Stegostoma tigrinum: one gene and its partner. The protein of the gene in region 1 purifies or fractionates together with the protein of each later gene. This does not show direct contact. Links are inferred from orthologs where the notes say so. Each region holds a gene or a part of one and is shown on either strand. Other genes may lie near its edges.

Region 1 (8,080 bases):
CTTTTGATCTGTTTAAAATTTCATTATACACATCCTATTTCTATAACATGGTACAACCTGTTTCTAACTTCTATTTAGGACAACCATCTTATTCTAACACACGGATTTATACTTTTTAAATACATGTTAAATAGAGCTGCTACCCTCTTTAACAAACTTACAGTCAAAAGAGTGCTTTCATGAAACTGGATGAATGAATGTGTAGAAACTGTCAAAAAACAGCAATAGTGGGATGAAATCTCATGACCCAGCTACAGGAGATCAGTTTAATATCCTCTATAACTTTATTTAGTACACATATAATTTCTCACTTATTTAGATCATATAGGACTAATATTTTTCACTAACATTACTAACTTTAAAGACAAAAGGCCTCACCTCTTAATTATGCAAGCTCCGACTGGATAGACATTCTAATCCCATCAGGAGTAACAGTCAACATTTCACAAACACTTAACTATCTCCTGCTTCCCCAACCCAGTTGTCACACAAAATTGTGTACAATAAATACAACCATGTACAGCATAGTGCTAAAATTTTAATGCATGTAAAAACTGTGTATAAAGAGGCTACGGTAAAACTGTAATTTGGATTCCATTGCTGCCCCAAACTATGGCACTGCAGATGCTCAATAAAGAGGCTTTATTTGCCACTTACCAATCTCGGTTGCTGTTGAACAGGATCACACATCTCCAACCCTGGCAACATCCTTGTAAATCTTTTCTGAACCCTTTCAAGTTTCACAACATCCTTCCCAGACCAGGGAGACCAGAATTGTACACAGTATTCCAAAAGTGGCCTAACCAATGTCCTGTACAGCTGCAACATGATCTCCCAACTCCTATACTCAATGCACTGACCAATAAACGCAAGCATACCAAGCGCCTTCTTCACTGTCCTATCTACCTGCATCGCCACTTTTAAAGAACTATGAACCTAGACTCCAAGGTCTCTTTGTTCAGCAACACTCACCAGGACCTTACCATTCAGTCTATAAATCCTGCCCTGATTTGCCTTTCCAACAGAGAAGTATACTGAGGATTGACATTACAGAATCACAGGATCGTTATGGCATAGAAAGAGGTGAGTCTGCCAAACATGCTGGTACTCGTTCTATTACATAGTGCCAATCTCCTGCCTTTCCGCCCACATTCCTGCAAACCATTTCTATCTAAGCAATCATCCAGTGCCCTCTTAAATGGCTTTCTTGAACATGTTTTCATCACATTTGCACACCCTTACTACTGTTTGTAAATGTTTGTTACTCACTTTCTAACTTCATTTGCACAACACTTTAAGTCGTCTCATTCTTTTTTATGAGCAGGGATAGGCTCTCCCTATCAACTCTGTACAGCCCACTTATAGTTTTTAAACATCTTTCAATACAATGTGATTGCAACTAACAGATATTAAACTTCCACTGACCTAATTCAGAATCCCTGCTGCTGTTCTGATTTGTTGCTCTCATGTCTGTCTCCCATCTGGTTTCATTTCCTCAACAGAGTGGTGGCTACACTATGGTTTATAAAGCCTGAGTTGGCATCCACCTGGATACCCATGTTCAACCAGAGTGGCCATTGATAAAATTCCCACCTCTGATTTAGAATGTTTTAATTTGAAGCCCATTTCTAACAACCCTAACAATCGGTGACCACAGCATTGGCACTTTACAGTGGAATTGGTGTCCTACATCTGCAGTGGAATCCCAATGGATATACAGGTGACATTGAAAAGAGCAGAAGGACAAGACAGTTTAAATCAGGAAACAACAATTAGTCACTGTAGCATAGGAAGTGTTGAATCACATACAGGGGTTCCCAATTTATGAACATTTGACTGACAAATGCTCTTACTCGTGAAGGTGATCCCACTCAGTGGTTTAATTTTAAATATCTGACATATGAACTTTTCCTGTACTTAACTATGGCTGCTTGATATTGTCCTGTATTGTATTCTTACTTGCATACAAATTGACTTGTGAATAGACTCAGGAATGGAACTGTTTACGACCTGGCCACTGCCTGAATAGAGATTCCACACAGCACAGCTCAGAGTTACCAGAATCCACAGAGGTTTTGGGAATAAAAACCTATAGCCAGTCAATTGTATTTTTGATGAAAGGTCACAACCTGACACGTTAATTCAGTTTCTCTTTCCAAAATTGCTGAATGCTTTCCAAGAGTTTCCACCATTTTCTGTTTTTTACTTTGTCTCAGTGTGCATCCCGGGAATAGACTGTAGAACACGGAGACCTACCTCACAGATTTGCTTGGGACAAATCTTGACAAAAACTTTTGCAACTTTCTCCAGACATCCTTTGCAAAGGTACATTCCAGAAGGAAATGGATGATAGTGTCTACCCACCTCGCCCCACCATCTGCAGCTGCCTTAAAAGCAGTGTGCACTGATGCAGAGAATCGAGATATACATGAAAGATCCCACAGGTAATGTCCTTCTCAGCACTAGCCGAGCGATGTCTCAGAGTTTGTTGGAAAATTCTGGTTATGAGGCATTCTGCCAAATGACCTTGACAGTCTCCTCAGGGAACAACTAGATTTGGTATATTTATTTTACTCAAACTGCTTACGGGTCTCACTACACACCTTTGGAGAAGGTGGGTTCTTAGCCTGGGCCTCCTGGCTGAGAGTTAGGGACATTACAACTGCACCACAGGAGAAACTGCATGAACTGTTTTACAGGTGTTCAGAATCATAAAAATTTTTGATAGAATAAATAGGGAGAAAAGAGTATTGTATACCAGCCGGTGCAAATTTAAGATAATTATCTAAAGAGCAAAACGTGGCAGGAGATTTTCTTTTGCTGTGAGTTGCTATGATCTGGACTATTCTAACTAAAATGGTGGTTGAAGTAGATGCGATTGTAACTTTCATAAAAAAAATTGCATGTACACTAGAAAACATAAAAAAGAGAAAGAGTGGAGGATTTGGACCAATTGAATAGTATAAATGTTTTGACAAAATGTATCCAGCAATCATAAGATAGTATTTGGAAAAGCTTGCACAGGCACAATGGACTGAATGGTCTCCTTGTAAATTATTTTTCAATAAACCCATTTAGAGATGTTATTACATGCCTTGGAAGTAGGCAAGACTTGAATCCAGGTCTCTTAGCTCAGAGTTACAGACACTACCACTACACCACAAGAGCTCTTGTAATCTCCTCATATATTGAATGATTCCTCTGGTCTCTAAATCCTACACCAATGTGTTACTTCTATTGCAGGGAATCGTTCTCATGGGATTCAAGATAGCAAAAGTTTATAATTTTTTGCTTTTCACTTTTGCCAAAAAAAAACTTCTGATGCTGGAAATCTGAAACAAAAACAAAATTTGCTGGAAGAAACTCAGCAAGTATGGCATCATCTGTGAAGAAAAAGCAGAGTCAATGATTCAGGTCTAGTGATCCTTCACTGATAGCTTTCTCTGTACAGATGCTTCCAGACCTGTCGAGTTTCTCCAGCAAGTAGAGCTTCTTTTTTTAAAGAAAAATTAAAATCCTGGCTTCCTATCTCTGTGAAAGCAAGTAATATTTTTGCTTGCGTCAGTGCTATACATTGCAAGCTCTCATTTGCTGGAGTGACTTTGATAGGGAGAAGTGTAGTGTGGTGAGAGTGGAGACTGTAATCAGTACTTATGGGGAAGCTTAAGGTGTCTCTGGTGAAAAATCTGCTACATCTGTCTCCTGAGGGGAAGTGGAAAGACAAGGAGAAACATTTGGTGCTAAGCCCCAACTTCCTAGTTCACACATTGTCAAATGAACTGGTTGCGAGAAAATCACTGGTGTTCAGCCACGCACAGACTGTCGTGTCGGATGCTCAACTCTACATTGCCAGCCCATCAGTGAAAGATCCAGGCTAACAGAAGGCTGTTCCTTCAACAGAAAGTAGCACTAAAATGATAGTTGGCATCTTGGGATGGATGAGACTATCTGCAATGCTGGTCATCGGAATCTGGCTGAGGGATACTGATTCACTTCCAAGATCCAGTTAGCAGAGGAGACGGAGTGTAGCTGGGGTTTGTCACAGTCCCCTTCCCTGACTCCACCTGGTTCATGATAACAAAGTGTAAAGCTGGATGAACACAGCAGGCCAAGCAGCATCTTTGGAGCACAAAAGCTGAGGTTTCGGGCCTAGACCCTTCATCAGAGAGGGGGATGGGGAGAGGATTCTTGAATAGAGAGGGGGAGGGGGACCGAAGATGAATAGAAGATAGGTGGAGAGTATACGTGGGGAGGTAGGGAGGGGATAGGCCAGTCTGGGGAGGACAGAGAGGTCAAAGCGGCGGGATGAGGTTAGTAGGTAGGAAATGGAGTTGCGGCTTGAGGTGGGAGGAAGGGATGGGTGAGAGGAAGAACAGGTTAGGGAAGCGGAGACAGGCTGGGCTGGTTTTGGGATGCAGTGGGGGGAAGGGATGAGCTGGGCTGGTTGTGTGGTGCAGGTTTTGGGATGCAGTGGGGGAAGGGGAGATTTTGAAGCTTGTGAAGTCCATATTGATACCATTGGGCTGCAGGGTTCCTGCAACCTTCGGGTGGCATCATTATGGCACTGCAGGAGGCCCAGGATGGACATGTCGTCTAAGGAATAGGAGGGGGAGTTGAAATGGTTTGTGACTGGGAGATGCAGTTGTTTTTTGCGAACTGAGCGGAGGTGTTCTGCAAAGCGGTCCCCAAGCCTCCGCTTGGTTTCCCCAATGTAGAGGAAGCCGCACCGGGTACAATGGATACAATATACCACATTGGCAGATGTGCAGGTGAACCTCTGCTTAATGTGGAATGTCATCTTGAGACCTGGGATGGGGGTGAGGGAGAAGGTGTGGGGGCAAGTGTAGCACTACCTGGTTCAAGTTCACTTTTTCGAAACTCGTGCTGGTATTCAAGTAATACGTTGTGACATGTTTAGTTTTTTAATATTACAAAACGAGCTGAGGGAGGCTCGGGCTGAGTGCGTGTGCTCACGTGCGTGTGGGGGGGGGGCTCCAGTCACGTGGGCGCGGCCGCGTGACGCGCGCCGTTTCCTTGGTGATGAGTCTGGCGGTCCAGGCCGGGCCTGGTGGCAGGAGGAGGATCCATACCCTCTGTGTATTACAGCGGCATTGCCGTCGGGACCGCGCTCTTCCTGTACGACGATATGGTGGGTGCAATGTTAGAGACATCAAGGCTGTGCCGGTCCTGAAGCAATTCTTCCCCTTCGCGTTACACCCAACTTCCCACCCACTTCCCCACACTGCCCCCCCCTCACCCACTTCCCCACACTTCCCCCCCCCTCACCCACTTCCCCCCCCTCACCCACTTCCCCCCCCTCACCCACTTCCCCCCCCCTCACCCACTTCCCCCCCCCTCACCCACTTCCCCCCCCTCACCCACTTCCCCATGCCCCCCGCCACCCCCTCATCCACTTCCCCACACGCCCCCCCCACCCACTTCCCCACGCCCCCCCCCCACTTCCCCACGCCCCCCCCTCACCCACTTCCCCACGCCCCCCCCACCCACTTCCCCACGCCCCCCCCACCCACTTGCCCACGCCCCCCCCTCACCCACTTCCCCACGCCCCCCCCTCACCCACTTCCCCACGCCCCCCCCTCACCCACTTCCCCACACCGCCCCCTCACCCACTTCCCCACACCGCCCCCCCTCACCCACTTCCCCACACCGCCACCCCCCCACCCACTTCCCCACACCGCCACCCCCCTCACCCACTTCCCCACGCCCCCCCCTCACCCACTTCCCCACGCCCCCCCCTCACCCACTTCCCCACGCCACCCCCTCACCCACTTCCCCACGCCACCCCCTCACCCACTTCCCCACGCCCCCCCCTCACCCACTTCCCCACACCGCCCCCCCCCTCACCCACTTCCCCACACCGCCCCCCCCTCACCCACTTCCCCACACCGCCACCCCCCCACCCACTTCCCCACACCGCCACCCCCCCACCCACTTCCCCACACCGCCACCCCCCTCACCCACTTCCCCACGCCCCCCCCTCACCCACTTCCCCACGCCCCCCCCTCACCCACTTCCCCACGCCCCCCCCCTCACCCACTTCCCCACGCCCCCCCCTCACCCACTTCCCCACGCCACCCCCTCACCCACTTTCCCACGCCACCCCCTCACCCACTTCCCCACGCGCCCCCCCCACCCACTTCCCCAGATGCCCGCCTTCACCCACTTCCCAATGCCTGCCTTCACCCTCTTCACTCCTCCTTCCCCACCCTACTGTCTTCACTACTCCTCCTCCTCGCTCCTGCCGTCTTTCTTCCTCCTCCTCCTCCTCGCCCCGCCGTCTTTGCCCCTCCCTCCTCTTCCTCACCCCCGCAGTCTTGCCTCCCTCACTCCCCCTAGAGTGGACCCCAAGATGGGGTGTCCTTTCAATGGAGCGGGGATTCTGGTGGGCAGTACCACCCCTACCATGTCTGTGTGAATGGGCAGCTGTCAGTGTTGCTCGTGTTAAGAGATGAGGGAAAGACTGTAAAAATCTTTTTTTGTAAAAAAGCTGAAATGTTCAATATGCTGAAACACACTGGCAGCATCTATGGGAGGGAAACACAGTTAACTTTTCAGCTCAATCTTGTGTGTTCAGAACTTGGAAAAGTTTCAGGTGTTCAGAGTCAATACACTGTGGAGGTGGAGAAACACAAGCTGGTCAGGAGAAAGAATGTTGACATATCAGATCAGGACTGGGGAGGAGTAAGGGAGCTGGGAAATAAAGAGGGAGGTGTGGTGGGAGAGAGAGAGAGATAATGGGAACTGCAGATGCTGGAGATTCCAAGATAATAAAATGTGAGGCTGGATGAACACAGCAGGCCAAGCAGCATCTCAGGAGCACAAAAGCTGACGTTTCGGGCCTAGACCCTTCATCAGAGAGGGGGATGGGGGGAGGGAACTGGAATAAATAGGGAGAGAGGGGGAGGCGGACCGAAGATGGAGAGTAAAGAAGATAGGTGGAGAGAGTGTAGGTGGGGAGGTAGGGAGGGGATAGGTCAGTCCAGGGAAGACGGACAGGTCAAGGAGGTGGGATGAGGTTAGTAGGTAGCGGGGGGTGCGGCTTGGGGTGGGAGGAAGGGATGGGTGAGAGGAAGAACCGGTTAGGGAGGCAGAGACAGGTTGGACTGGTTTTGGGATGCAGTGGGTGGGGGGGAAGAGCTGGGCTGGTTGTGTGGTGCAGTGGGGGGAGGGGACGAACTGGGCTGGTTGAGGGATGCAGTAGGGGAAGGGGAGATTTTGAAACTGGTGAAGTCCACATTGATACCATATGGCTGCAGGGTTCCCAGGCGGAATATGAGTTGCTGTTCCTGCAACCTTCGGGTGGCATCATTGTGGCAGTGCAGGAGGCCCATGATGGACATGTCATCAAGAGAATGGGAGGGGGAGTGGAAATGGTTTGCGACTGGGAGGTGCAGTTGTTTTTTGCGAACTGAGCGGAGGTGTTCTGCAAAGCGGTCCCCAAGCCTCCGCTTGGTTTCCCCAATGTAGAGGAAGCCGCACCGGGTACAGTGGATGCAGTATACCACATTGGCAGATGTGCAGGTGAACCTCTGCTTGATGTGGAATGTCATCTTGGGGCCTGGGATGGGGGTGAGGGAGGAGGTGTGGGGACAAGTGTAGCATTTCCTGCGGTTGCAGGGGAAGGTGCCGGGTGTGGTGGGGTTGGAGGGCAGTGTGGAGCGAACAAGGGAGTCACGGAGAGAGTGGTCTCTCCGGAAAGCAGACAGGGGAGGGGATGGAAAAATGTCTTGGGTGGTGGGGTCGGATTGTAAATGGCGGAAGTGTCGGAGGATAATGCGTTGTATCCGGAGGTTGGTAGGGTGGTGTGTGAGAACGAGGGGGATCCTCTTGGGGCGGTTGTGGCGGGGGCGGGGTGTGAGGGATGTGTCGCGGGAAATGCGGGAGACGCGGTCAAGGGCGTTCTCGATCACCGTGGGGGGAAAGTTGCGGTCCTTAAAGAACTTGGACATCTGGGATGTGCGGGAGTGGAATGTCTTGTCGTGGGAGCAGATGCGGCGGAGGCGGAGGAATTGGGAATAGGGGATGGAATTTTTGCAGGAGGGTGGGTGGGAGGAGGTGT
Region 2 (7,455 bases), on another chromosome or scaffold:
CTCACATTGATATTGACCAAGGAGTGTTAACAAGGAGGTAACAATAGAACATGTCGACAATTGTAATATAAGAAGTCACCTGACAAAAGAGCAGTGCTCCAAAAACTAGTGATTTCAAATAATCCTGCTGGACTATAACCTGGTATCATGTGACTTCTGACTTTGTGTGTCCCACTCCAACACTGGCACCCCCATATTATTAATTTAAAATGAGCACAGACCCAACCTGCTCAACATTTCCTCATTAGTCTGATTCCTTAGATGAAGGCATCTGTCTTATGAATATTCTCTCATTATGAATATTCTCTCAACTGCTTCCAATGCAAGTATTTTTCTCTTAAGAAGACAAAAAACATACTGTAGTTCTAGTCTCACCAATGCCAGATACAACTGTGTCAAGACTTCCTGACAGTTCATTTTCCTTGTAATAAAGGCCAATGTTATCTTTACCTCCTAATTACAAACTGATCCTTTGTAATTCGAGTCAAAGAGCATCCACATTCCACTACACTGCAACATTCTACCGTCTCCCTCCTTCTAAATAATACTCTGCCTTTCTTCTAGCTGACGTGGACAATCTAATTTGCCCCACACTTCATGTCAAACTTTTGCCCACCAATTAATACCTCTTTATATCTTCATGACTAGCTTTCCTGTCTAACTTGTGTTGTCAGAAAGCATGGCTGCAATTGGACCCTTCAAGTCACAGGCAGATTGTAAGAAGTTAAGATCCCGGAGGTGATCCATGGCACTTCACTATTTATCCCAGCTCTCTCTGGCTACCCAGCCTCTTTCCGTGCTGTTGTATCACTCACAAATCATTTTATCTTGTGTGGTTCTTGTCAAATGCCTTTTGGAAATCCGAAATGATACCACTCTGTCCACCCTGGCTGTTACATCTTCAAATAACACACAAGCTTGTTAAAAATGCTATGCGTTGCACAAAACCATGTTGATTCTGCCCTATTATATTACAATTATCTCCATGCCCTATTGCTACCTCCTTGATAATGACAGCATACTATATTCTTGAGGTTATACTCACATCTGTATAACCATGACCAGTGCTATATCTTAAGATATCAGATGACCCTGAAGAATCAAGTCTGTGTCTTTAGAACTTGCATTTTATCAAACAGTTAATCCCTGAACACTATGGACAATCTAGCATAGCCAATCTACCTAATGACCACATCGTTGGACTTGTTCAAAAAAAGGACAAATCCCATCTGGCCAATTACTTTTCCAGTCGATATTACATTCCCAGTCTATCTTTGATCTTCAGGGAGGTGATGGAAGCTGTTACTGAGTAAATCAATTTGGCTGAAGACTGGTATCTGTGGGAAGAACTGGGATAGACCATTCACTCAGCACTGCAGTACAAATATAGATGAAATTGGTTCAGCCTCGTCTTTCACACAGATGTGCTGGGTCTTCCAGAATTGAAGATGGGTGTGTTTGTGAAGCTTCTGCTGCTCCGCCTCCTGTTAGTTCTTTAATTATTAATTATTCACAGCTGGAACAAAAGCAGGAATGCAGACACTAGATCTGTTGTTTGTGGGAATTACTTTGCTTGGTCTCTTGCAGCTGCTTCTGCTGCATGGTATATGTTTTAGCTTTCCCAGGCTGAAAATTTAATTTTAGATATGCTAGGTGCTCCTCCTGGAATGTTTTTTGTACCCTTCACTGAACCAGTGTTGATCTCACAGCTTAATGGTTATGGTGGAATGGGGATAGGTTAGTCCATGAGTTACAGGCTGTGATTGAATACTATTCTGCTGATGATGGCTGTCAGCACCTCCAATAGATAATAAAATGTGAGGCTGGATGAACACTGCAGGCCAAGCAGCATCCCAGGAGCACAAAAGCTGACGTTTCAGGCCGAGACCCTTCATCAGAGAGGGGGATGGGGTGAGGGTTCTGGAATAAATAGGGAGAGAGGGGGAGGTGGACCGAAGATGGAGAGAAAAGAAGATAGGTGGAGAGGAGAGTATAGGTGGGGAGGTCGGGAGGGGATAGGTCAGTCCAGGGAAGACGGACAGGTCAAGGAGGTGGGATGAGGTTAGTAGGTAGCAGATGGAGGTGCGGCTTGGGGTGGGAGGAAAGGATGGGTGAGAGGAAGAACAGGTTAGGGAGGCAGAGACAGGTTGGACTGGTTTTGGGATGCAGTGGGTAGAGGGGAAGAGCTGGGCTGGTTGTGTGGTGCAGTGGGGGGAGGGGACGAACTGGGCTGGTTTTGGGATGCGGTGGGGGAAGGGGAGATTTTGAAGCTGGTGAAGTCCATATTGATACCATTGGGCTGCAGGGTTCCCAAGCGGAATATGAGTTGCTGTTCCTGCAACCTTCGGGTGGCATCATTGTGGCACTGCAGGAGGCCATGATGGACACGTCATCTAAAGAATGGGAGGGGGAGTGGAAATGGTTTGCGACTGAGAGGTGCAGTTGTTTATTGCGAACCGAGCGGAGGTGTTCTGCAAAGCGGTCCCCAAGCCTCCGCTTGGTTTCCCCAATGTAGAGGAAGCCACACCGGGTACAGTGGATGCAGTATACCACATTGGCAGATGTGCAGGTGGACTGACCTATCTCCTCTCCACCCATCTTCTTTTCTCTCCATCTTCGGTCCGCCTCCCCCTCTCTCCCTATTTATTCCAGAACCCTCACCCCATCCCCCTCTCTGATGAAGGGTCTAGGCCCGAAACGTCAGCTTTTGTGCTCATGGGATGCTGCTTGGCCTGCTGTGTTCATCCAGCCTCACATTTTATTATCTTGGATTCTCCAGCATCTGCAGTTCCCATTATCACCTCCAATAGATACCCAGTTTTGACTTGCTAGATCTGTTTGACATACAACACATTTAACACAGTGGTAGTGTGACACAACATGATAGAGTGCATCTTTAGTGTCAAGACAAATTAAATTGTCTACAAAATTATTACAATAAACACAGGTTCCTCTCATCAGGAAAAAGATGAAGTGTTGCAACCTTACCAGTATTCGCAGTAAGATGGAATTTATGCCAGTTGAGATTCTCATTCACAACAGAAGAACCAATATTAAAAAGTAGAAATCAGCCTACACAATTCATCTCTGAACAACAGAGTAACTTACACCACATCTCCCGTTTTGCATGTGAACACTAAAGTCTGAGATAATCATTTATGAATACTATACATGGAAGAGTTGAAAAACAGTACAACCACAGAAGTTCTTTTCTATATCGGGTTTCTAAAATACGCTTGGTGTCATAAGCTCCCAAGGCAGAACGGAACTTGAACTGTATGGTAATGGCTGAAATGCCCCTCTATTTTCTTAGATTTAGAATTTTTATAAAGGCAGAGAAAGTATCCCTAGTGGACCTCTGGACAAGAAGGTGTAGGTTCAAGACCCACCCAACTCATGAGGTGTGTCAGGACATGTCTGAACAAGGTGATTAAAATAATGATTTTCTCAGACTTTTCCCGCTAGTGCGTGCGGTTTAGTGGACTGATATGAAGTTTGATTGCTGCAAAATAAAAAGCTGGTCAAAATGGAGGTGTTTTTATCTCCTTCCAATTTCTACCTAGTGAACTTCTTCCGACCTCCATGCCCAAGGATTTGAAATAACTCTCAGACTCCAACAGTCACACAGAGAGTTTAAATGGGGCAATCTTAGGAAATGTTTAGGGAGGACTAAAGGCTGCACCCAAAAAAAATCAGATCAAAATTCACAGACTGTGTACAACTCCAGGAGGCCTACTTTCTCTATCTGTTTGGGTTCAGTGAAGCATAGCTATGCAGAGTGGTTCCGCACAAGGCTTCTGTGCCAAGAGATGATGTAAACCAAAATAAATTGCTTATGCCCAAATGAACTTTTGCATTGAATCTTGGCATCTTAAGATGAAAACTGGCTTCTATGTTTCCTATATTGCAACGGTAACCAAACTTCAAAAAGTGCTTCATTGGTTATAAAGTACTTTGAGACATCTGGTGGTCATGAAAGCAGCTACATAAGATGAAGGGTCTAGGCCCGAAACGTCAGCTTTTGTGCTCCTGAGATGCTGCTTGGCCTGCTGTGTTCGTCCAGCCTCACATTTTGTTATCTTGGAGTCTCCAGCATCTGCAGTTCCCATTATCTCTCACATAAATGAAAGTCACGGTTTTTAAAAAATCCTGACTCTGAGAAGGATGTCGCCTTCACTTTCATGAAGTGATTGGGGAAGCGGACCCTGCCAATGAGCGCTGAGTTTAAATGCCTGTGCGATCTCCGAAAACCAATGATGTGTGGTGTTTGAGACGCCTTTGATTACCATAGAAACGGAATGAGCAGGCCCCTGTGTGGTTTTGTACAGATTTAGGAGTTGTTTTATAAATAAGTAGTCTGTGGGTTTGGTTGCTGTTTTTCGCCCAGTTTGATGCATTGAATGCCCAGCGATTTCTGGCATGATTTTCATATGCGGCGTTGTCTTTTTCCCGGTGCTTTGTCCGTAATAGTTTTAAAGTCGGACCCAGCCGTCGTCTCAATCCGCTCGTTTTAGGAATCTTTACAGAATAAGAATTTCCTGCGTCCATGGATTTAAATTTAAACCGCGTTGACTACCTGCAGGTTGTAGACGTGATTCCGTTATCACCTGGGTTGGAATAAGAGGCGCTAATAGCTGTTAAATCCAGTAGATGGAGAATAATTTTGACACCTTTGCCGTTTGAGGATGGGAGTGTTGGTAAAGATTTTAGTTAGTAAAGATAAACTAGCATACATATTGCTACACAAGTGCTGGATTTCATGAGAAGAGAATGTCTTGTAAACAAATTAGTTTCATGTTTAGAATTTCTGTTAGGTAATACTTAACAAATCTATGTGAAGTGAACTCCATTATTTCAGGCAATAGAATTCCAAGCAATGTCCTGGTCCCAAAGTTCATCTTCAGTTTGTATTACCAGAGGGATGATAAGGTCGCTGGAATTAGCACACTGACTTTGGAAGGAAGTGGAAGTTCCTGTTCCTGAGCCAGATTTGTTGACCATTGCTCAGAAATATAAATGTTGAACTTAGCAATCTTTTACTGTATACGTCCTATTATTGTGTCTACTTGAAAACATTAAGTTGGTATAAATTTGATACTGTTGTTCTGATTTCAATGATGTGATTAAATCATCCTCCTGCACACATTAGCTGAGATTTTTTTAACAGCCAGTCAAAAATCCTATCTCCCAAAAGAGCAATTGTAACTTCCAACTTACAAAAGTTGTACTTACTGTGGTGATAGCACAATAATGGTTATTTTGCAGGCTAGGTGGATTGGCCATGCTAAATTGCCCATAGTGTTCAGGGGCGTGTGGGTTATCGGGGTATGGGTCAGGGTGGGGTGCTTCAAGGGGTGGTGTGGACTTGTTGGGCTGAAGGGCCTGTATTCACACTGTTGGTAATCTAATCTAATCTAGTTCTTCTGATGAGAAAGGATGTATGACACAAAGGATCAGTAAAGATGCAAAAAGTTGTCAAGAAATTTAGGATGGTCTAATAAAGGGTGATTTTTTTTCTGTTGTATGAAGTAGACTGGGGCATCAAGACTCCTGTATCTGTAATGGGCTTGTGAAACTTTAGTAGAGTGTTACAGTTACACTAACGTTGGTCCAGTTTTTCTTTGACCCATCCCATAGTGTGGTGCATTCAGGGACTAGAATAATCAATGTTTATTTGTTGTGATGTTGCTGTAAGTAGCCCTTTTTTCTTCTCCTAGGTAGGAGTGACTTCCCAAAAGACCATGAGGCTGCTACCTGCATCAGGACGCAGAGCAATCCAAAAGGTTAATTCACATTAAGTTAACACATGTAACTTGTTTTTTCAGTTCCAGGCAAAAGTGTGGGAGAAAGGAAAAAAGATGTCCTATCCTTGATGTAGCACCACGTAGTTTTCTCAGCAGGGATGTTTTTACTGTATGTTGTGACATTATTGGAAAGCATATTTAAGTAGAAATTTGCATTTTAGTTTTATAATGGCCAAACAATAGACAGATCTTACAGCTAAGTGATCATATCTAAAGTCTGCAGGCCTATCACATGAACAGTGAATGATGCTGGACAAGTAAAAGAACTGGAGAAAGACAGTCTGCAAATATCTCAATCCAGCTCAGTGGTGGGGGAAAAAAAGACAAGGTTGAACCATGGCATATATCTTCACCCAGCAGTGCCAAATAGACAATTCATCTCGTTGTCCTCCTGAGGTCCCAATTAGTTTTCAGCTAATTTGATTCACTCCCGTGTGATATTGAGCAGCGACTGAAGGCATGGATAGTGCAAAAGCTACGGACCCTGACAACGTTCCAGCAACTGTGCTGAAGACTTGGGTACCAGTTTTAACTGTGCCCCTAATGAAACCATTCCATTATGTCTACATCATTGCCAGGTAGCTGCCAATGTGGAAAATTTCCCAGTTATGATCTGTCCACACAAAGGATAAATCCAATTCACTGAATTACTGCCCTTTTGGCCTCTCTCCATCATGAACAAAACGTTGGAGAGGTCACTCTCGCTGCTGTCAAATGGCACTTGCTTAGAAAATTCTTTTTGTTGAACCTTGGTTTGAGTTGCTCACGGGCTACAGAGCTCCTAACCTTATTACATCCTTGATCCCAAGATTGTCACAAGAGCTGAATTCTAGAGGTGAGGTCAGAGTGATTATCAAGTGCAGCCTTGATGTTAAGGACAGTGTGTGGTGTCAAGATGTCCCAGCAAAACTGGCTTCAATGGGAATTAGAGCCACGTCTTATACAAAGGAAGACACTTGTTGTCGGAGATCAATCATCTCAGTCCTGGAGTAACATTAAAGGAGTTTTTCAGTTTAGGTGTTTTCCAATCAGTCTGTTCAGGGATATTATTAAACACTTTCAAAGCAGGTGACATTTGATCCCAGATCTCTCGGCTCGAGGTCGGGACACATCCACTGTAACTCCAGAGATCTTAGTTCCTCAAGCTAATGCCTTAGTCCCAACAATCTTCAGCTGTTTTAGCAATGATCTTTTTGCCACCATAATGTCAAAAATAGGGATGTTGCTGCTAATTGTACGACATTTAGCAGCATTCACAACTCGAGATACTGAAATAGTCCACGTGCAAATGCAACAAGACCTGGACATCATCCAGGCTTGAGTTGATTAGTGGTAACATGCTAAGCACTTATGTGGCATGAAACAATCATCTCTAACATGGGAGAATTTAACCATCTCCCCTTGGCATTCAATGACCTCATCATGACAAAAATTGTGACTGTCCACATCCTGGGGTTACAGCTGACCTGAAACTAAACTGGTTTAGCCATGTAAATCCTGTATTCACAAGAGCAGTTGGGAATTGTGAGGCATAACTCACCACGTGTTTTCCCCAGTGTCTGTCTGCAATCTACAAGGCAAAGTTAGGAGTCTGCTGGAATACTGTCCATTAGCCGGATGAATGTTGCTCCAACAGGACTTAAGAATTTCC

What was found. Proteins that work in one complex are often made in the same cells at the same time.
Region 2: the proteins of lztfl1 (region 1) and bbs7 purify together in Homo sapiens (affinity purification with mass spectrometry; 3 studies listed by BioGRID and IntAct, counting the BioPlex papers as one, with this or other methods). This does not show direct contact. The link is inferred for Stegostoma tigrinum from reciprocal best matches to the Homo sapiens genes LZTFL1 and BBS7.

Annotation. Positions count from the first base shown.
Region 1 is NC_081355.1:13,060,574-13,068,653, forward strand, and holds the start of lztfl1 (leucine zipper transcription factor-like protein 1), read left to right. Parts: upstream 1-5,033; 5' UTR 5,034-5,146; coding exon 5,147-5,149; intron 5,150-8,080. UniProt on the Homo sapiens protein: Regulates ciliary localization of the BBSome complex. Together with the BBSome complex, controls SMO ciliary trafficking and contributes to the sonic hedgehog (SHH) pathway regulation. May play a role in neurite outgrowth. May have tumor suppressor function.
Region 2 is NC_081354.1:36,654,617-36,662,071, forward strand, and holds the start of bbs7 (Bardet-Biedl syndrome 7 protein), read left to right. Parts: upstream 1-4,294; 5' UTR 4,295-4,546; coding exon 4,547-4,582; intron 4,583-4,590; exon of another isoform or gene 4,591-4,685; coding exon of another isoform or gene 4,686-4,697; intron 4,698-5,717; coding exon 5,718-5,783; intron 5,784-7,455.